Macaca fascicularis: one gene and its partners. The protein of the gene in region 2 purifies or fractionates together with the protein of the main gene of each other region. This does not show direct contact. Links are inferred from orthologs where the notes say so. Each region holds a gene or a part of one and is shown on either strand. Other genes may lie near its edges. The genes, in order: CHAF1A, SETDB1, ATF7IP and SUV39H1.

Region 1 (4,297 bases), on a different chromosome or scaffold from region 2:
GCCTAGTGTGTCAGCACGTCTCCTGTGTGGAGCAAGGGCCCAGTGACTTGAGGTGGCTCTGAAGAAATTGGCGTGTTCCTGTTGTTTAATGTCCCCAGACACCTCCAAATCAGAATGTCCCTCAGCAGAGTCTACAGGGGACTCTTAGACTCTTCTTTGCTTAACTCTTCTTTCAAAAAGGTAGTTGAAAATGGCCATAGGCCAGGCTCCGTGGCTCATGCCTGTAATCCCAGCACTTTGGGAGGCTGTGGCAGGAGGATCACTTGAGGCCAGGAGTTCGAAGGTGTAGTTACCTATGATTGCACCACTGCACCCCAGCCTGGGTGACAAAGCAGGACTGTTTCTCCTATGTCCTCACAGGGTCAACCCATGCTGCCTGGGGAGAGGGACAGCCTGGGCTCCCAGCCACTGAAGAGGATCCAGGAGGGGAGCCCCTACCCAGGCATTGATGGGGCTACGATAGGAACCCAGTATGCCTGGCCAGGCGCTGTGCTCTTACGTGACAGCCCACGAAACCAGCCTACTGCCTGGCCGTTGTGTTGCTGTGCGGTCACTTTTCTAGGCGAATGGAGGTTTTTGTAGAGGAAGACTTCCTGGAGTGTTTTGAGGACGAGCCTCCCTGCTGAAATAAGTGTGGCTCTGTGTCCTAGGAGGGGCTTGTGTTCATGCACGGAGGGTCAGCACTGATGCAGAGGCTCGTGGTGGCCTCCATGCATCCTGTCTTTCTCCTTTGGGGAAAGCAAATGGAAACGGCTCAGGAATTTCACTAGGGCCAGGTGCGGTGGCTCACCTGTCATCCCAGCACTTTGGGAGGCTGAGGTGGGAGGATGGCTTGAGCCCAGGAGGTCGAGACCAGCCTGGGCAACATAGTGACACCCCCTTGTCTCTACTTAAAAAAAAAAAAAAAGGCCAGGCGCAGTGACTCACGCCTGTAATCCCAGCACTTTGGGTGGCCGAGGCAGGCGGATCACAAGGTCAGGAGATCGAGACCATCCTGACTAACATGGTGAAACCCTGTCTCTAATAAAAATACAAAAAAATTAGCCAAGCGTGGTGGCGGGTGCCTGTAGTCCCAGCTACTCAGGAGGCTGAGGCAGGAGAATGGCGTGAACCTGGGAGGCGGAGCTTGCAGTGAGCCAAGATCTGGCCACCGCACTCCAGCCTGGGCGACAGCGAGACTCCACTTCAAAAAAAAAAAAAAGGCCGGGCGCGGTGGCTCACGCTTGTAATACCAGCACTTTGGGAGGCCAAGGCAGGTGGATCACGAGGTCAGGAGATCGAGACCATCCTGGTTAACATGGTGAAACCCCGTCTCTCCTAAAAAGTACAAAATAGCCGGGCGTGATGGTGGGCGCTTGTAGTCCCTGCTACTCGGGAGGCTGAGGCAGGAGAATGGCGTGAACCCGGGAGGTGGAGCTTGCAGCGAGCCAAGATCGCACCACTGCACTCCAGCCCAGGCAACAGAGTGAAGAGTCCATCTAAAAAAAAGTAATCACAAGTCACAGTCATCGCTTCACGTCAGGGATGTGTTTTGAGAGGTGTCCTCAAGCAATTTCATGGTTGTGCTGATGGGCTAGGTTGCTTTTACATACCCTAGATGGACAGCCTGCCACACGCCTGGGCCATGTGGTACATAGCCCAGGGCTCCTGGGCTGTGGACCTGTGCAGCAGGTGACTGACTGACTGCTCAACCCTGTAGGCACTTGCAACCCAGTGGTATTTGTGTCTCTAACATAGAAAAGGCACAGCAAAGGCCAGGCACGGTGGCTCACGCCTGTAATCCTAGCACTTTGAGAGGCCGACATGGGCGAATCCCAAGGTCAGGAGTTCGAGACCAGCCTGGCCGACATGGTGAAACCCCGTCTCGACTAAAAATACAAAAAATTAGCTGTCCATGGTGGCGGGCACCTGTAATCCCAGCTACTCGGGAGGCTGAGGCAGGAGAATTGCTTGAACCTGGGAGTCGGAGGTTGCAGTGAGCCAAGATAGCACCACTGCAGTCCAGCCTGGACGATAGGGCAAGACTCTGTCTCAAAATATATACATACCAAATAAGTAAATATACAGTTGTCTGTAATCCCAGCACTTTGGGAGGCCGGGGCGGGCAGATCATAAGGTCAGGAATTTGAGACCAGCCTGACCAACATGGTGAAACCCCGTCTCTACTAAAAATACAAAAATTAGCCTGGCGTGGTGGCGTACACCTGTAATCCCAGCTACTCAGGAGGCTGAAGAATGAGAATCACTTGAACCCAGGAGGTGGAGGTCACAGTGAGCTGAGATTGTGCCACTGTACTCCAGCCTGGGTGACAAGAGTGAGACTCTATCTCAAAAATCAAAAATAAAAATAAATACAGTTGTAATCTGATGGGACCACTATCAGGTATGTGGCCTGTCACCGACGAGATTATTCTGTAGACGGCAATGATGGCCATTTGTGGAGATATGAATCCAGTTCATTTGAGGGAACCCCCAAGGTTCTCTGGTTGTGGCCTCTCGAATAAACCTCACATTTGGACAGTTTGTTACCAAATTGGGTTCTGGATGTTGGGTTCCCTTCAGTGTTGGGGGTGGGAGGGAGGGGTCACACCCGCAGAGGCCCCCCACCCCCGCCAGCACCAGTGTGGCTGCCACCTGTAATGCTGATGGCCATGCACCTTGTCTTTCCAGGTTGGTGCTGAGGACATGGACGGCTTCCAGGCAGACACAGAGGAGGAGGAAGAGGAGGAGGGCGAGTGTATGATCGTGGATGTCCCGGACGCTGCGGGTGAGAAGGGCTCTAGATAGCAGAACGCACTGGTGAGGGGTGGGGGAGGTAAACCTCAACAGGGAAGGGATGGCGCCGCCTAAGACTCGCTCCATTGTGAGCTGCCAGGAGGGTTTGCAGCTGGAAGTGGCTCCTACCCTGCCATGTCCTCTGCCACTTGGGCAGAGCCACAAGGGCCTGTGCTGGGAGTCTCAGGTGGCGGGACGTTAGATGGGGGTCAGGGAAGACTGCACTGAGGCGGCAAGGGAGGGCCAGGTGGATTTCTGGAGGACTCCCCAAAGAGGAAGTGCAGAGGCCTTGCAGCAGGCTGTGCGGGAGGAGTGTGCCTAGGTGGTGGGGGGCAGGGTCAGCCTGAGAGCAGGTGAGCAGGTCACCTCTAGAAGGGGCACAATGCCCCAGCTTCCGCCTGCCCCCACTGTCAGGTGAAGGGTTCCGCCCTGGGGCCGTTGCAGGCCCCATGAGGCAACAGGTCCTCCCCCAGGGAGCCCAGCAGGCACAGCCAGCTCAAGACCTTCCCTTTCTTGCCCTGCAGAGGTCCAAGCCCCGTGTGGAGCCACTTCCGGAGCTGGGGGTGGTGTGGGGGTGGACACCAGCAAGGCCGCCCTGCCTGCGAGCCCACTGGGCGCGTCGTGAGAGCAGTGGTGACGTACGTAGAACGCTTAGGGTGTCCTCCCCACGGAGCAGATACTTGAACCGACTCGATTCCTGTGTAAAGAGCACTTTGTCCTGCTTCACGGACCTCCCCAAGGTGTGCAGAGTTCTATATAGGATGCTGGATTAGTTCCTTTGATATTTGTAAAAATTCCCCCAAGAGCTGCGTATGAATCTGCCCTTTAATAAAGCATTATTGAGATTGCTGGCCTATCGAGGAAGCCTGCGGGCACAGGAGCAGGCGTGGAATCCAGTACTTGTAAATGAATTGAAGAGCCAGGACCACCCACCTGGCCATGTGCACGGGCCCCGTGTATAAACGAGGCAGTGTGTAAAGAGGCAGTGTATAAACTTATTCTCTAGCACTGAGCTGCTCTGTCTTTTCTGACAACATCGTGTTTCTCTCCGAGTGCGTCGTGTCTGGGGCCAGCCTTGTGCCCTGCAACAGCGCTGTCCCATCTGTTTGACACTAAGTCATCCTCATACCAGGCTGACCTGGGTCAAGGTGCAGGTTTTCCGCATGTGCTTCTGTCCAGCGATCCCTCCTGCCCTGGGTTGGGGGGTTAGGAGGGGGTGTTCCCGGGGACCTGCTGGGGTCTCCTTCCTCAAACCAGAGCTGCTGGGAGCTGAGTTTGGCTTGGAGTCTGAGACTTCGTGAGAGCCCACCCCTAGGTCGGGTGCATCTTTTGTGAGTGCTGGAGCTAGGAGGTGACCTCCTCCCTGCCCCACGTTGAGTGGGCTTTATCCCCACTGTCCCCGAGGGAGGACTCTGTGGTGCTGAGCAGTTCAGAGCACACGCAGCCACGGGGAGGGTCACACTCGCCAGCCCTGCTCCTGGACACACCCCACCTGAAATCTAAGCTTCCCTTCAGGGAACCC
Region 2 (4,220 bases):
CAACAGGAGAGAATTTCAAGGACTTGGGAGTTCTAGCTGCTTGGGCTCTGTTTCCAGCCTCACACACAAGGTTCTGGTTTGTACTTTTTAAATGAAAAATGTGTGTGTGTGTGTGTGTGTGTGTGTGTGTGTGTGTGTGTGTGTGTGTGTGTGTGTGTGTGTGTTTGAGACGGACTCTCAAAACGGAGTCTTGCTCGGTCACTCAGGCTGGAGTGCAGTGGCGCGATCTCCTTTCACTGAAGCCTCTGCCAGCAGGGCTCAGCGATCCTCCCGCCTCAGCTCCGTAGTTGCTGGGACCACAGGCGCGAACTACCACGCCTGACTTTTTTTATCTCGTATTTTTAGTTGAGATGGCGTTTCACCGTATTGCCCAGGCCGGTTTGGAACTCCTGGGCTCTAGCAATCCTCCCGCCTCGGCCTCTCAAAATGTTGGGATTACAGGCGTGAGCTACAGCGCCCGGCTTGGGGAATCTTTTCTACAGAAATAAAAGTACTACTTCAAAAGGATGTTTATTTTTATTGTTGCGCTATTTGTCGGGGCTGAGAACGGAAAACAATCTAAACAAATATGGTTTAACCTTATTATTCAGGTGTCAAAAATACAAGTTATTGTTGTTGTTTTTTGTTTGTTTGTTTTTGAGATGGAGTCTCGTTCTATGGCCCAGGCTGGAGTGCAGTGGCGCGATCCCCGCTCACCGAAAGCTCTGCCTCCCGGGTTCATGCCATTCTCCTGCCTCAGCCTCCCGAGTACCTGGGACTACAGGCGCCCACCACCCGGCTAATTTTGTGTGTGTGTGTATTTTTAGTAGAGACGGGGTTTCAACGTGTTAGCCAGGATGGTCTTGATCTCCTGACCTCGTGATCCGCCGCCTTGGCCTCCCAAAGTGCTGGGATGACAGGTGTGAGCCACCGCGCCCGGCCAAAAATACAAATTTTACCTTTTTTATTGGCTTCAGGTAATGTCCACATGTTAAATGAAAACAAAAATCTATATACAGGAACGTGTGCACACAAGACTAGAAAATTAAGCTGTATTACCTGAAAGGAGCGGGGTGGTAAGTGATGGGGCAAGAGAGAATTTTATCACGTTTTTCTTATTACATTTTGATAGCCTTTACAATTTGTATCACTTATGTAACAAAACAAACTCAAGTAAAACTGAAAGAATAAAGCTCTGAACCTATGAGTGCTTCCCTCAGTCTTTACACTATGAATGTAGTAATGTGGCCACTAGTCGAGGGTGGTAGGACAGGCGGAGACTCGGTAATATACTCCTGGCCACGCCCACTCTGCCCTGCCAGTCGCTTCTCACGTGTGTCCCTGGAAGGCTCTGCCTTAACGCATGCGTAGTTACCTTAGTTTCGTCGCCTCTGAGGGGCGCCCCGCGACTTTGGATTTGACCCCATCAGGCTACCGTCGCGGTGACCGGAACGGCACTAAAGGTTTGCTTCCGGGCGTTTCTTTTGCTTCCCCTTCCCTCCTTCATGCTTTCTCCCCTCCCCCTCCTCCCTTATCCCTTCGCTTTCGCTCTTTTCCGTCGAGGCTGACCCATGAGTTGTGAGTCTGGGGTCTGGTTGGTGAAAAAGAGCCCTTAAAGCTGGAAGACGGGAGGTGTGGGGAATACTGTTAATTGAGTTATTTGGTGACCAAAGGCTTATCTGGGATGTTTTGTTTGTGGGAGGGGGTCGGGCGAGGGTGGGAAGGAAGTCTTCCCCAGAGGCGAACGGGGGCGGGGCTGAACTGGGTTTGCGAATGGGTAGGACGCACCCCTAGAATAGGTAGCACGGGAGTGGGCTGGTGTGTGGGCAAAGGAAAATGGAGGCGTTGAAAATCAGGTTTGCTTTAACCGTTTGATTGAAAAAGCAGTTCACACGAATGTGTGAAGTATTTTGGTTGTGGATGTTAGGTAGCCACGTTTTATTCCCAGCTTGCTTTACTTCTCTGTACTTTGGGGGAAACCTTTTTGCTGCGAGCTTTGAATATCATAGACTTTTTAAAAAGTAAATTTCCACATGGAAGCAAAGTAATGTAAGGGGAAGAAGTGATGAAAGAGAAAACACTGAATTAGTGAGTTACAAGTCAACTCCATCCCCAGGTAGAAGTTTTGTTCAAATTAGGCATAGCATACAAAGATTTATCACATAATCTTTAAGTTAAGGAACACGTATAGACCACAAAAATATCTTCTCCTGGATTAGTTCTCTTCGGTATCCCAAAGCATTATTTTTAAAGTTCGGTTTGTTTTGAGACAGGGTCTCGCTTTGTCACCCAAGCTGGAATGCATAGGGCAAACATAGCTCACTACAGCAGCCTCTCCTGGGCTCAAGCGATCCTCCCACCTCAGCCTCCTGAGTAGCTGGGACTAAAGGCATGCACCACCACACCTGGCTAATTTTTGTATTTTTTTTGTAAAGACGAGTCTTGCCATGTTGCCCAGGCTGGTCTTGAACTCCTGCCCTCAAGCGACCTTCCTGTCTTGGCCTCTAAAAGTGCTGAGATTACAGATGTAAGCCACTGTGGTAGCCCAAAACATTATTTTCAGTAGCTCCCTACTGCTTAATGAATGTTCTCCATGCCCTCTCAAACTTTTAAAGCTTTTTCAGGCCTGTTAGTGTGTAGTAGAAGATAAGAACTCTTAAAAATCTCAGCATCAGATTCTGGAGAATGGGGAAGAAGAACATGGACTATTTGAATAGAATAACAGGCAGCAGAACAGGAATTAGTTTTATTAGGGAACTGAAATTCTCTATTGATTATAGTTATAAGGACTCCCGTTTAATTTGTTTTCTGTTCCATGCAGAGGACAAAAGCATGTCTTCCCTTCCTGGGTGCATTGGTTTGGATGCAGCAACAGCTACAGTGGAGTCTGAAGAGATAGCAGAGCTGCAACAGGCAGTGGTTGAGGAACTGGGTATCTCTATGGAGGAACTTCGGCATTTCATCGATGAGGAACTGGAGAAGATGGATTGTGTACAGCAGCGCAAGAAGCAGCTAGCAGAGTTAGAGACATGGGTAATACAGAAAGAATCTGAGGTGGCTCACGTTGACCAGCTATTTGATGATGCATCCAGGTGAGAACTCCATGGAAAATAGAGGGAAATCTCTCCATTGGGAGATATTTTTAGAGAATAATTGTTCATGACCTTGTACCAAGCATTTTATTTTATTTTTTGAGACGGAGTCTCGCTCTGTCACCCAGGCTGGAGTGCAGTGGAGTGGTCCCAGCTCACTACAACCTCAACCTCTCAGGTTCAAGTGATTCTCCCGCCTCACCCTCCCAAGTAGCTGGGATTACAGGCATCCGCTACCACGCCCAGCTAATTTTTTATATTTTTAGTAGAGACAGGGTTTCACCATGTTGGCCGGGCTGTGTACCAAGAATTTTATACTTTATGAAGTACACATATTTAGAACCTTACTCTTCCTCGAAGTTTATGGTAAAAAATCTGACCTTACAGTCAGCCATAAATATAATTTTCATCTGTCAGCAGCTAACATAAGGGAGTCCAAGTCTTTTTTTTTTTTTTTTTTTTTTTTTTGAGACGGAGTCTCGCTCTGTCGCCCAGGCTGGAGTGCAGTGGCCGGATCTCAGCTCACTGCAAGCTCCGCCTCCCGCGTTCACGCCATTCTCCTGCCTCAGCCTCCTGAGTAGCTGGGACTACAGGCGCCGCCACCACGCCCGGCTAGTTTTTTGTATTTTTTAGCAGAGACGGGGTTTCACCGTGTTAACCAAGATGGTCTCGATCTCCTGACCTCGTGATTCGCCCGCCTCGGCCTCCCAAAGTGCTGGGATTACAGGCTTGAGCCACCGCGCCCGGCCTGGGAGTCCAAGTCTTAAGTCCTTTCCCCTTCTTCCTCCTGTGCTCTGTCTTAGAACAATTGCTTCATTTCCCTAGTAAGATCATCCAGGGAGTGAGGATTGTACAGAATTTCTGTCTTACGTAACTCCGAAGCATTAATCAGTTCCTATACCCCCCAAAAGATTTGTTTCTAGTGCTCCAGTTGTCACTTAGAATACATTTTTAAAAATTTATTATTATACTTTAAGTTCTAGGGTACATGTGCACAGCCTGCAGGTTTGTTACATATGTATACATGTGCCATGTTGGTGTGCTGCACCCATTAACTCATCATTGACATTAGGTATATCTCCTAATGCTATCCCTTCCCCCTCCCCCAACCGCACAACAGGCCCTGGTATGTGATGTTCCCCATCCTGT
Region 3 (3,562 bases), on a different chromosome or scaffold from region 2:
TCTGTCTCAGAAAAAAAAAAAAAAAAAGAAAAAGCAAGATCCCACAATAGGTTGTCTGCAAGCTGAGGAGCAAGGAAAGCCAGTCCAAGTCCCAAAACTGAAGAACTTGGAGGCCAGTGTTCCAGGGCAGGAAGCATCCAGCACAGGAAAAAGATGTAGACTGGGAGGCTAAGGCTCAGCCAGTCTCTCCTTTTCACGTTTTTCTGCCTGCTTTATATTTTCTGGCAGCTGATTAGATTGCGCCCACCAAATGAAGGGTGGATCTGCCTTCCCCAGTTCACAGACTCTAATGTTAGTATCTTTTGGCAACATCCTCACAGACCCACCCAGGGTTAACACTTTGTGTCCTTCAATCAAGTTGACACTCAGTTTTAACCATCACACATATGTAGTAGTTTTGCAAAATGTGATAGCAAGGAAAAATATAGCTGTTTAAAGAAACAGTAATGCTGTCATTAGAAAATAAACTGATTGGAGTCTCTGGATCATAGTTTGGCTTCAACTCTCTCAAGTTTACAAGAGCATTATCTGGGAAAATTAGTCAACAAGTTTGGAAATGAGTTCTGGGAAACTTGGCTCACTATCGTCCAGGCACCAGGCCAAACTATGGCATGGGCCAGGTACTGAATAAATGGCAGGAGTATGGTCAGGGCAGTAGGTAGCTCTGAATTTTCTATTTTTGTTTCCTTGGTGTATGTCACAGCAGTTTTCTGTGGGGTGAAATGAGTATCCTGAACCAAGGAGCTAGGCATGGAGAAAATGAGAGGAACTTCATTAGTACATGGCAAGGATGACTTATTCTGGCTTTCTGTCCTGGTTGAAAAGATGAGACTGCAGAGCTTTTTATGAAGATACTCCCAATTTGTCTATCTTTTGAGTCACACTGCTCCATTATGGCCATTTACCTTTTACATGCGGTACACAACCAGTGTTCTAGGATTTTTGTTCATAGTTCTCCTGGTAAGGATCCTTTTATTTCTCCCTGTGCTGGACCTCCTGTTGCTTGTGTCTCATATTTTTCTCTTTATTTTCTCACATATTAGTGGCACATATTCTCCAGTGACTATTGAGAGAAGGTTTGTGGTAGTTAGAATTTTTTTTTAGTGCTTGCACATAAGAAAGTTTTTTTATCCACAGGCTGGTTGATAGCTTGGCTGAATACGAATAGGACCTCTAAGTTAGAAATATCTTTCCTTTCAAATCTTGAAAACATTGCTTCACTGACTTCAAATATTTAATGTTTTCCACCAAATTTACAATAGAATTATTTTATCTTGTAATTTTTTTTTTTTTTTTTTGTAGGTGTTACAGTTCGAGTGCCTCAAACAACCACGTATGTTGTAAACAATGGACTAACCCTGGGATCCACAGGACCTCAGCTCACAGTGCATCACCGACCACCACAAGTGCATACTGTAAGTGTTGATGCTTGGTTTTGTAAAATTCTCAACTGTAAAGGTATAAAATATTATTGTAGTTGGCATTTTTCTTTAAAGTGGTTATATCCAAGGGAATTGTTAGGTCTTTCTGCTTTTTCAGAAGTTTATTTCTAAAAATTGATCTTAAACCATTATGAACAAATGTTCATAGGGATGATGATCATTTAGAATCATTGAGTTTGCTTGTGGTGTACAGTATACAAAAACAGGTCCACAGTTGGGGTATATGAAGTGAAATACAGACCATTTCTAATTCATAGTTAAATTAAAAAGGACGTTTTTCCATGTGTTAATTTTATTCTTTTGTTTTAAACTATGCCACGTCTAACTGCTACATTGTCATCAATTGTTTTAAAGAATCCAATGATATTGGGAATTCATTAGTTAAGAGGCAGCAGAGATAACCAAAGATTTCTCCTTAGATTTAGCCTCCAAAACAATGTCACATTATCCTGTGACACAATTTTGTCAGTGTTTGACTGGTATGAAATATCATCATAATGACGATGATGTTCCAGTGTTAGAAAAGTCAATAGGACTCCTAAAGTTAGAGTCACGTTTTTTTCATCATCTGGCCTTAACCTACCTTTCCAGATTTTTCTTCATGTACCCTATATCCAAGAAAAAGTTAATACTTGTTGTCCATACGTCCCCTCACTTTCCTGTCCACATGCCTTTGCTCATGCTTTATTTTTGGCTAAAAGGTACATGATTATTTCTGCATCTCTAGATCCTATCTTTCACAGTTCAGTTTAAATATCACCTTTTTTTTGTAAATTGGCCAAGAATATAGTACACATTCAGTGTTAATACGCTTATTTATAAGAATATGCTGTTGTCTTATATTGCAAAATAACTTAAAAATGAAAGTATAGTTGTATTCTCCAATTTTATATGATCTTGATTGCCATACATGATATTTTAAAATGTTATACTGAAGTGATAATCTGTAACATAGATAATTCAATCATAAATTATTTTGTTAGAAGTAGATCATTATTTCCGTGTTCCTCAAAATGATGTTCCATCAGCAGGGGCTTTTTATTTCCTAAGAAAAACTCAAAATATTTTAGGTCTAGGAAATAGAGCAGGAATAACCTCAGCATCATTGTTTGTGGCATCATTCATTACAAAACCCCAAATAGAACTTGCCAAATTTGATATGGTGTTTGGTATTTCCTAGAATTCTTGATGTAAAATGGTATCTCTATGTATGTTCTCTAAGGTGTTTTAATCCTAACATTCTAAAATGTTCTTTTTGCGATCATTATAAATCAGTGTGACTTGTTTTTTTAGGAGCCGCCACGCCCTGTGCACCCAGCACCCTTACCAGAAGCTCCACAACCACAGCGTGTGCCCCCAGAAGCTGCCAGCACATCTCTGCCTCAGAAGCCACACTTGAAGTTAGCACGAGTTCAGAGTCAAAATGGCATAGTACTGTCATGGAGTGTCCTGGAGGTGGATCGAAGCTGTGCCACTGTTGATAGCTACCATCTCTATGCTTACCATGAGGAACCTAGTGCCACCGTGCCCTCACAATGGAAAAAGATAGGGGAAGTCAAGGCACTTCCCTTGCCCATGGCATGTACTCTCACCCAGTTTGTATCTGGTAGCAAATACTACTTTGCAGTACGAGCCAAGGATATTTATGGACGTTTTGGGCCTTTCTGTGATCCTCAGTCAACAGATGTGATCTCTTCCACCCAGAGCAGTTAAACCTTGGAGCCTTTATATTTTCCTCTTTTAAAATTTCCACCTTTTGGTCTTGTTTTTAATCTTGTGCATGATACCCCATGTAAAATCCACCTTGTGCAAGATTTCTTGGACAGATGTGTGTATACACTACATTTGTTTATAAACAGAAGCAAAATAAACTCAGCCCACAAAGCTAGAATCTTTTCCTGGACAGTTTAGGCTTTGGGGTTTGGAAATGTAAATGTGTACCTTGCTTTAGTTTTGAGGCTGGGGAATATGTGTGGGTGTTTATGTGTGTTTTTCCCTATGTATGTGTTACTGCATTGGAGTCTCCCATTTTTATTCTCAAATTTACCTCTTAAAGTACGAAGTAGTAGATCAAAGGATCTGAGATGTGTAACTGGCATGACTCTGCTTTTAAAGGATCT
Region 4 (3,562 bases), on a different chromosome or scaffold from region 2:
GGACGATTCATGTTGCAAACCCCCCTCAGAGGTCTGCTGCTCCAGGGGCAGCCTTGGGCAGTGAGCATTGGGGTTCAAAGCACATTTCTGTTGTAGAACAGTCTCAGCATTGGGGAAGGCCTGTGGATTAAAGTTCCCTGACTCTTAGGCAGTCTTTGGGATGTCCCAGGGAGGATTTGGGGTCCCCTTTGACACCTGGCCTTGTCAGACTGCCCAGTAATAGTTCTTTCTGCCCTGCTTGATCCAGGCTGCAGCGTGTGTTGCAAGTCTTCTTGGAATCAGCTGCAGGACCTGTGCCGCCTGGCCAAGCTCTCCTGCCCTGCCCTCGGTATCTCTAAGAGGAACCTCTATGACTTTGAAGTCGAGTACCTGTGCGATTACAAGAAGATCCGCGTGAGTCTGGGGTGACCATGCTCTGGGAGGGGACAGGTCACAAGGAAGTTAAGTGTCCTGCCCTCTTGTCCCCAACTGCCCACATCTGTTTGCAAAGGGAATTTTCTCCTCTGACCCTGGAAAAATAGGATGAACAGACCCTTTTATCCCTATGTTACAGATAGGGAAACTAAGTAGCTTTCTGATGGGGGCAGGAGCCGGAATGAATTCTCTTCCCATCTCCCTAGGAATACAAAGTAACTGCAAAGGTTGAGATGCTGAACCCTAGAGTGGAAATGTCAACAGCTAACGGCTATTGAGCACTTTCAGTGTGCCAGGTGCTTCCTCTAGGAAACTCATTTAATCCCCTAACAACTGTGAAATGGGGACAGTTATTGCCAGAAGGGGGAGTGGCAGGATGGTTAGGAGAACAAACTGGAGTCAGCATGCTTGGGTTCCAGTCCTGGTGTGTTTACCTACCCAAACCCTCAGTACTTCATTTCCTTTGTCATAAAAGGGGGATGACTAGGAGCATCCACCTCATGTCGGGTTGTGAGGATTAAGTTAGTTAATAATACATGTAAGCTGCCTAAAACAGGCAAGGACTTGTCAGGGTCCAGGTGAGCCATAGTGGTGGCAGTGATGATGGTTTGTCACTGGATGTATTTTGAAGGTGGGGCTAACGGGATGTGCGGAGGGTGGATGTCGGAAGTGTGAACAAAAGAGGATTCAAGGATGACTCCAGGAGTTCCGGTCTGAACAGCTAGAAGGAGGGAGCTGATGATGGGGAAGACCAAGGAGGGGAGTGGGTTTGGGAGATTAATTAAAAGTTGGAACAGTCTGGACAGACAGTAAGGGGGAGAGCAGGATTTGAACCTGGTAATCCTCACGCTAGAGCCCATGCTTTTTAACCACCGCATGAAGTCATTCCAGAAAAGGGGTGGGGTGGGTTAGGTGTTATCCATCAGCTTTGGCATGGAAGCCCCATGAAGGCTGGCCCAAAGATCTCACCACTTATGGTACCACCGTTCCCCTACCCACCCCCAACAGGAACAGGAATATTACCTGGTGAAATGGCGCGGATATCCAGACTCAGAGAGCACCTGGGAGCCACGGCAGAATCTCAAGTGTGTGCGTATTCTCAAGCAGTTCCACAAGGACTTAGAGAGGGAGCTGCTCCGGCGGCACCACCGGTCAAAGACCCCCCGGCACCTGGACCCAAGCTTGGCCAACTACCTGGTGCAGAAGGCCAAGCAGAGGCGGGCGCTCCGTCGCTGGGAGCAGGAGCTCAATGCCAAGCGCAGCCATCTGGGACGCATCACTGTAGAGAATGAGGTGGACCTGGACGGCCCCCCGCGGGCCTTCGTGTACATCAATGAGTACCGTGTTGGTGAGGGCATCACCCTCAACCAGGTGGCTGTGGGCTGCGAGTGCCAGGACTGTCTGTGGGCACCCACTGGAGGCTGCTGCCCGGGGGCATCACTGCACAAGTTTGCCTACAATGACCAGGGCCAGGTGCGGCTTCGAGCCGGGCTGCCCATCTACGAGTGCAACTCCCGCTGCCGCTGTGGCTATGACTGCCCGAATCGCGTGGTACAGAAAGGCATCCGATATGACCTCTGCATCTTCCGCACGGATGATGGGCGTGGCTGGGGCGTCCGCACCCTGGAGAAGATTCGCAAGAACAGCTTCGTCATGGAGTACGTGGGAGAGGTAGGGAGATGGGACCAGTGTGTGTGTGCAGCTCTTCCCACCCTGTGTTCACAGTGTGCACCCAGCTCTCCTCACTGTGTGTCTGCAACTCCCTGCTTTCCCTGTGGGAAAGGCCTGGTACACTGATCTAAGAGTGTCATAGGGACATCGGGCAGGGACAAGTATTCCATGCTGGTGGTTACAGAAACACCGAAATACTTCTGCACTGGGTTGACTTTATCAGGGTACTTAGCGAAGAAGAAAAGTGGGAGCTGAGATCCAGGCAGCCTTAGCATTCCTTGTATCAGGCCATGTGGTCTGGCATAGGGCTGCATCAGCTGGAAAGGCACTTCCTCTTCTCATTTCACAAGGGCCCATCTTATCACCAAGCAGTATCTGCCTGAGAAGCATTGTTTTACCAGTCTGCACAGAAGGAACGCAGTCTGGAGTAGGATGAGACATGCTTTGGACAAAGGTTGGCTAACTCCTTTAGACTTTCAGGACACTGGGGAAAGCTGAGTGTACTAGGCAAGCCAGCCATTGTAAAAACAACTCCCTCATCTTAGTGACTTTGCACATTACAAGTTTGCTTGCTTATGGAACAGTCCACTGTGGGGGTTTGGGTGGGTATCCTTTCACACAGCGACTGGGATACCGAGGCTCTTTCCCTCCTGTGCCTTTGCTGTGTCTTGAAGCCTTGGAGTCACCACTAGATCATCAGCATTGCCTAGCAGGCGGGCCAAGTCGGGGATAGAAGGGGCCCATCCTAGTGGGCCAGGCCTAGATGCAGCACCCATCACTTCTGCTCATGCTCCACTGGCTGGAACTGAGTCACTGGCCTTACCTCCGTGCAAGGGAGGCAACGGGATGTGCTTTAGCCATGTGCCCAGCTGCACAAGGCTAAAGCACAGCCATAACTAGCAAGTAGATAACAAGTATCTACAACAGAAAAATGTCACATTCTAAGATGGGATGCAGTTAGCATTTGGGATGAGATGAATTTTTGTTATGGAGAACTGTCTCATGCATTGGGGGACATTTAGCATTCCTGGACCTTTACCATTTAAATCCATGAGTGTGCCCTGTCATAGTGACAACCCCAGATACCTGTATATATTTCCATAGGTCCCTTAGGGGTGTGATATGGTTGGAAAGTGACAGAAACTGGCCTGAGGAACACTCACATGAGGGTGTCCACACTGTAGCACTGATACTGATGACAAGGAGAGGCTCCTGCTCTGAGAAACTGTAAAGTAGAGAGGGTCACACCCCACAGGGACAGAGACAATCTTGGGCAGAACAATCTATACCACAGAGGACCCTGACAGTCTGGGCAAGGAGACAGCCACACCCTGTCCAGATAACCCTGCTGGCCTGCTGGAGGAGATGTCCACATGCCACAGGACCTGGCCATCTAGAAGGAGGAGTGGGGAGGTGTCCACACCCTGAGGGCTCCTGACAGTGGGAGCAGGAGGGAGTCCTGATAATCTGTAGGAAG

What was found.
Region 1: the proteins of SETDB1 (region 2) and CHAF1A purify together in Homo sapiens (affinity purification with western blotting; 3 studies listed by BioGRID and IntAct, with this or other methods). This does not show direct contact. The link is inferred for Macaca fascicularis from reciprocal best matches to the Homo sapiens genes SETDB1 and CHAF1A.
Region 3: the proteins of SETDB1 (region 2) and ATF7IP purify together in Homo sapiens (affinity purification with mass spectrometry; 6 studies listed by BioGRID and IntAct, counting the BioPlex papers as one, with this or other methods). This does not show direct contact. The link is inferred for Macaca fascicularis from reciprocal best matches to the Homo sapiens genes SETDB1 and ATF7IP.
Region 4: the proteins of SETDB1 (region 2) and SUV39H1 purify together in Homo sapiens (affinity purification with mass spectrometry; 3 studies listed by BioGRID and IntAct, counting the BioPlex papers as one, with this or other methods). This does not show direct contact. The link is inferred for Macaca fascicularis from reciprocal best matches to the Homo sapiens genes SETDB1 and SUV39H1.

What each region holds. Positions count from the first base shown.
Region 1 is NC_088393.1:5,181,180-5,185,476, forward strand, and holds the end of CHAF1A (chromatin assembly factor 1 subunit A), read left to right. Parts: intron 1-2,670; coding exon 2,671-2,767; intron 2,768-3,299; coding exon 3,300-3,400; 3' UTR 3,401-3,783; downstream 3,784-4,297. UniProt on the Homo sapiens protein: Acts as a component of the histone chaperone complex chromatin assembly factor 1 (CAF-1), which assembles histone octamers onto DNA during replication and repair.
Region 2 is NC_088375.1:110,314,547-110,318,766, reverse strand, and holds the start of SETDB1 (histone-lysine N-methyltransferase SETDB1), read left to right. Parts: upstream 1-1,386; 5' UTR 1,387-1,442; intron 1,443-1,465; exon of another isoform or gene 1,466-1,611; intron 1,612-1,731; exon of another isoform or gene 1,732-2,095; intron 2,096-2,800; 5' UTR 2,801-2,811; coding exon 2,812-3,071; intron 3,072-4,220. UniProt on the Homo sapiens protein: Histone methyltransferase that specifically trimethylates 'Lys-9' of histone H3. H3 'Lys-9' trimethylation represents a specific tag for epigenetic transcriptional repression by recruiting HP1 (CBX1, CBX3 and/or CBX5) proteins to methylated histones.
Region 3 is NC_088385.1:17,282,645-17,286,206, forward strand, and holds part of ATF7IP (activating transcription factor 7-interacting protein 1), read left to right. Parts: intron 1-1,302; coding exon 1,303-1,415; intron 1,416-2,735; coding exon 2,736-3,155; 3' UTR 3,156-3,562. UniProt on the Homo sapiens protein: Recruiter that couples transcriptional factors to general transcription apparatus and thereby modulates transcription regulation and chromatin formation. Can both act as an activator or a repressor depending on the context.
Region 4 is NC_088395.1:48,855,547-48,859,108, forward strand, and holds part of SUV39H1 (histone-lysine N-methyltransferase SUV39H1), read left to right. Parts: exon of another isoform or gene 1-247; coding exon 248-393; exon of another isoform or gene 394-1,422; coding exon 1,423-2,085; intron 2,086-3,562. UniProt on the Homo sapiens protein: Histone methyltransferase that specifically trimethylates 'Lys-9' of histone H3 using monomethylated H3 'Lys-9' as substrate. Also weakly methylates histone H1 (in vitro).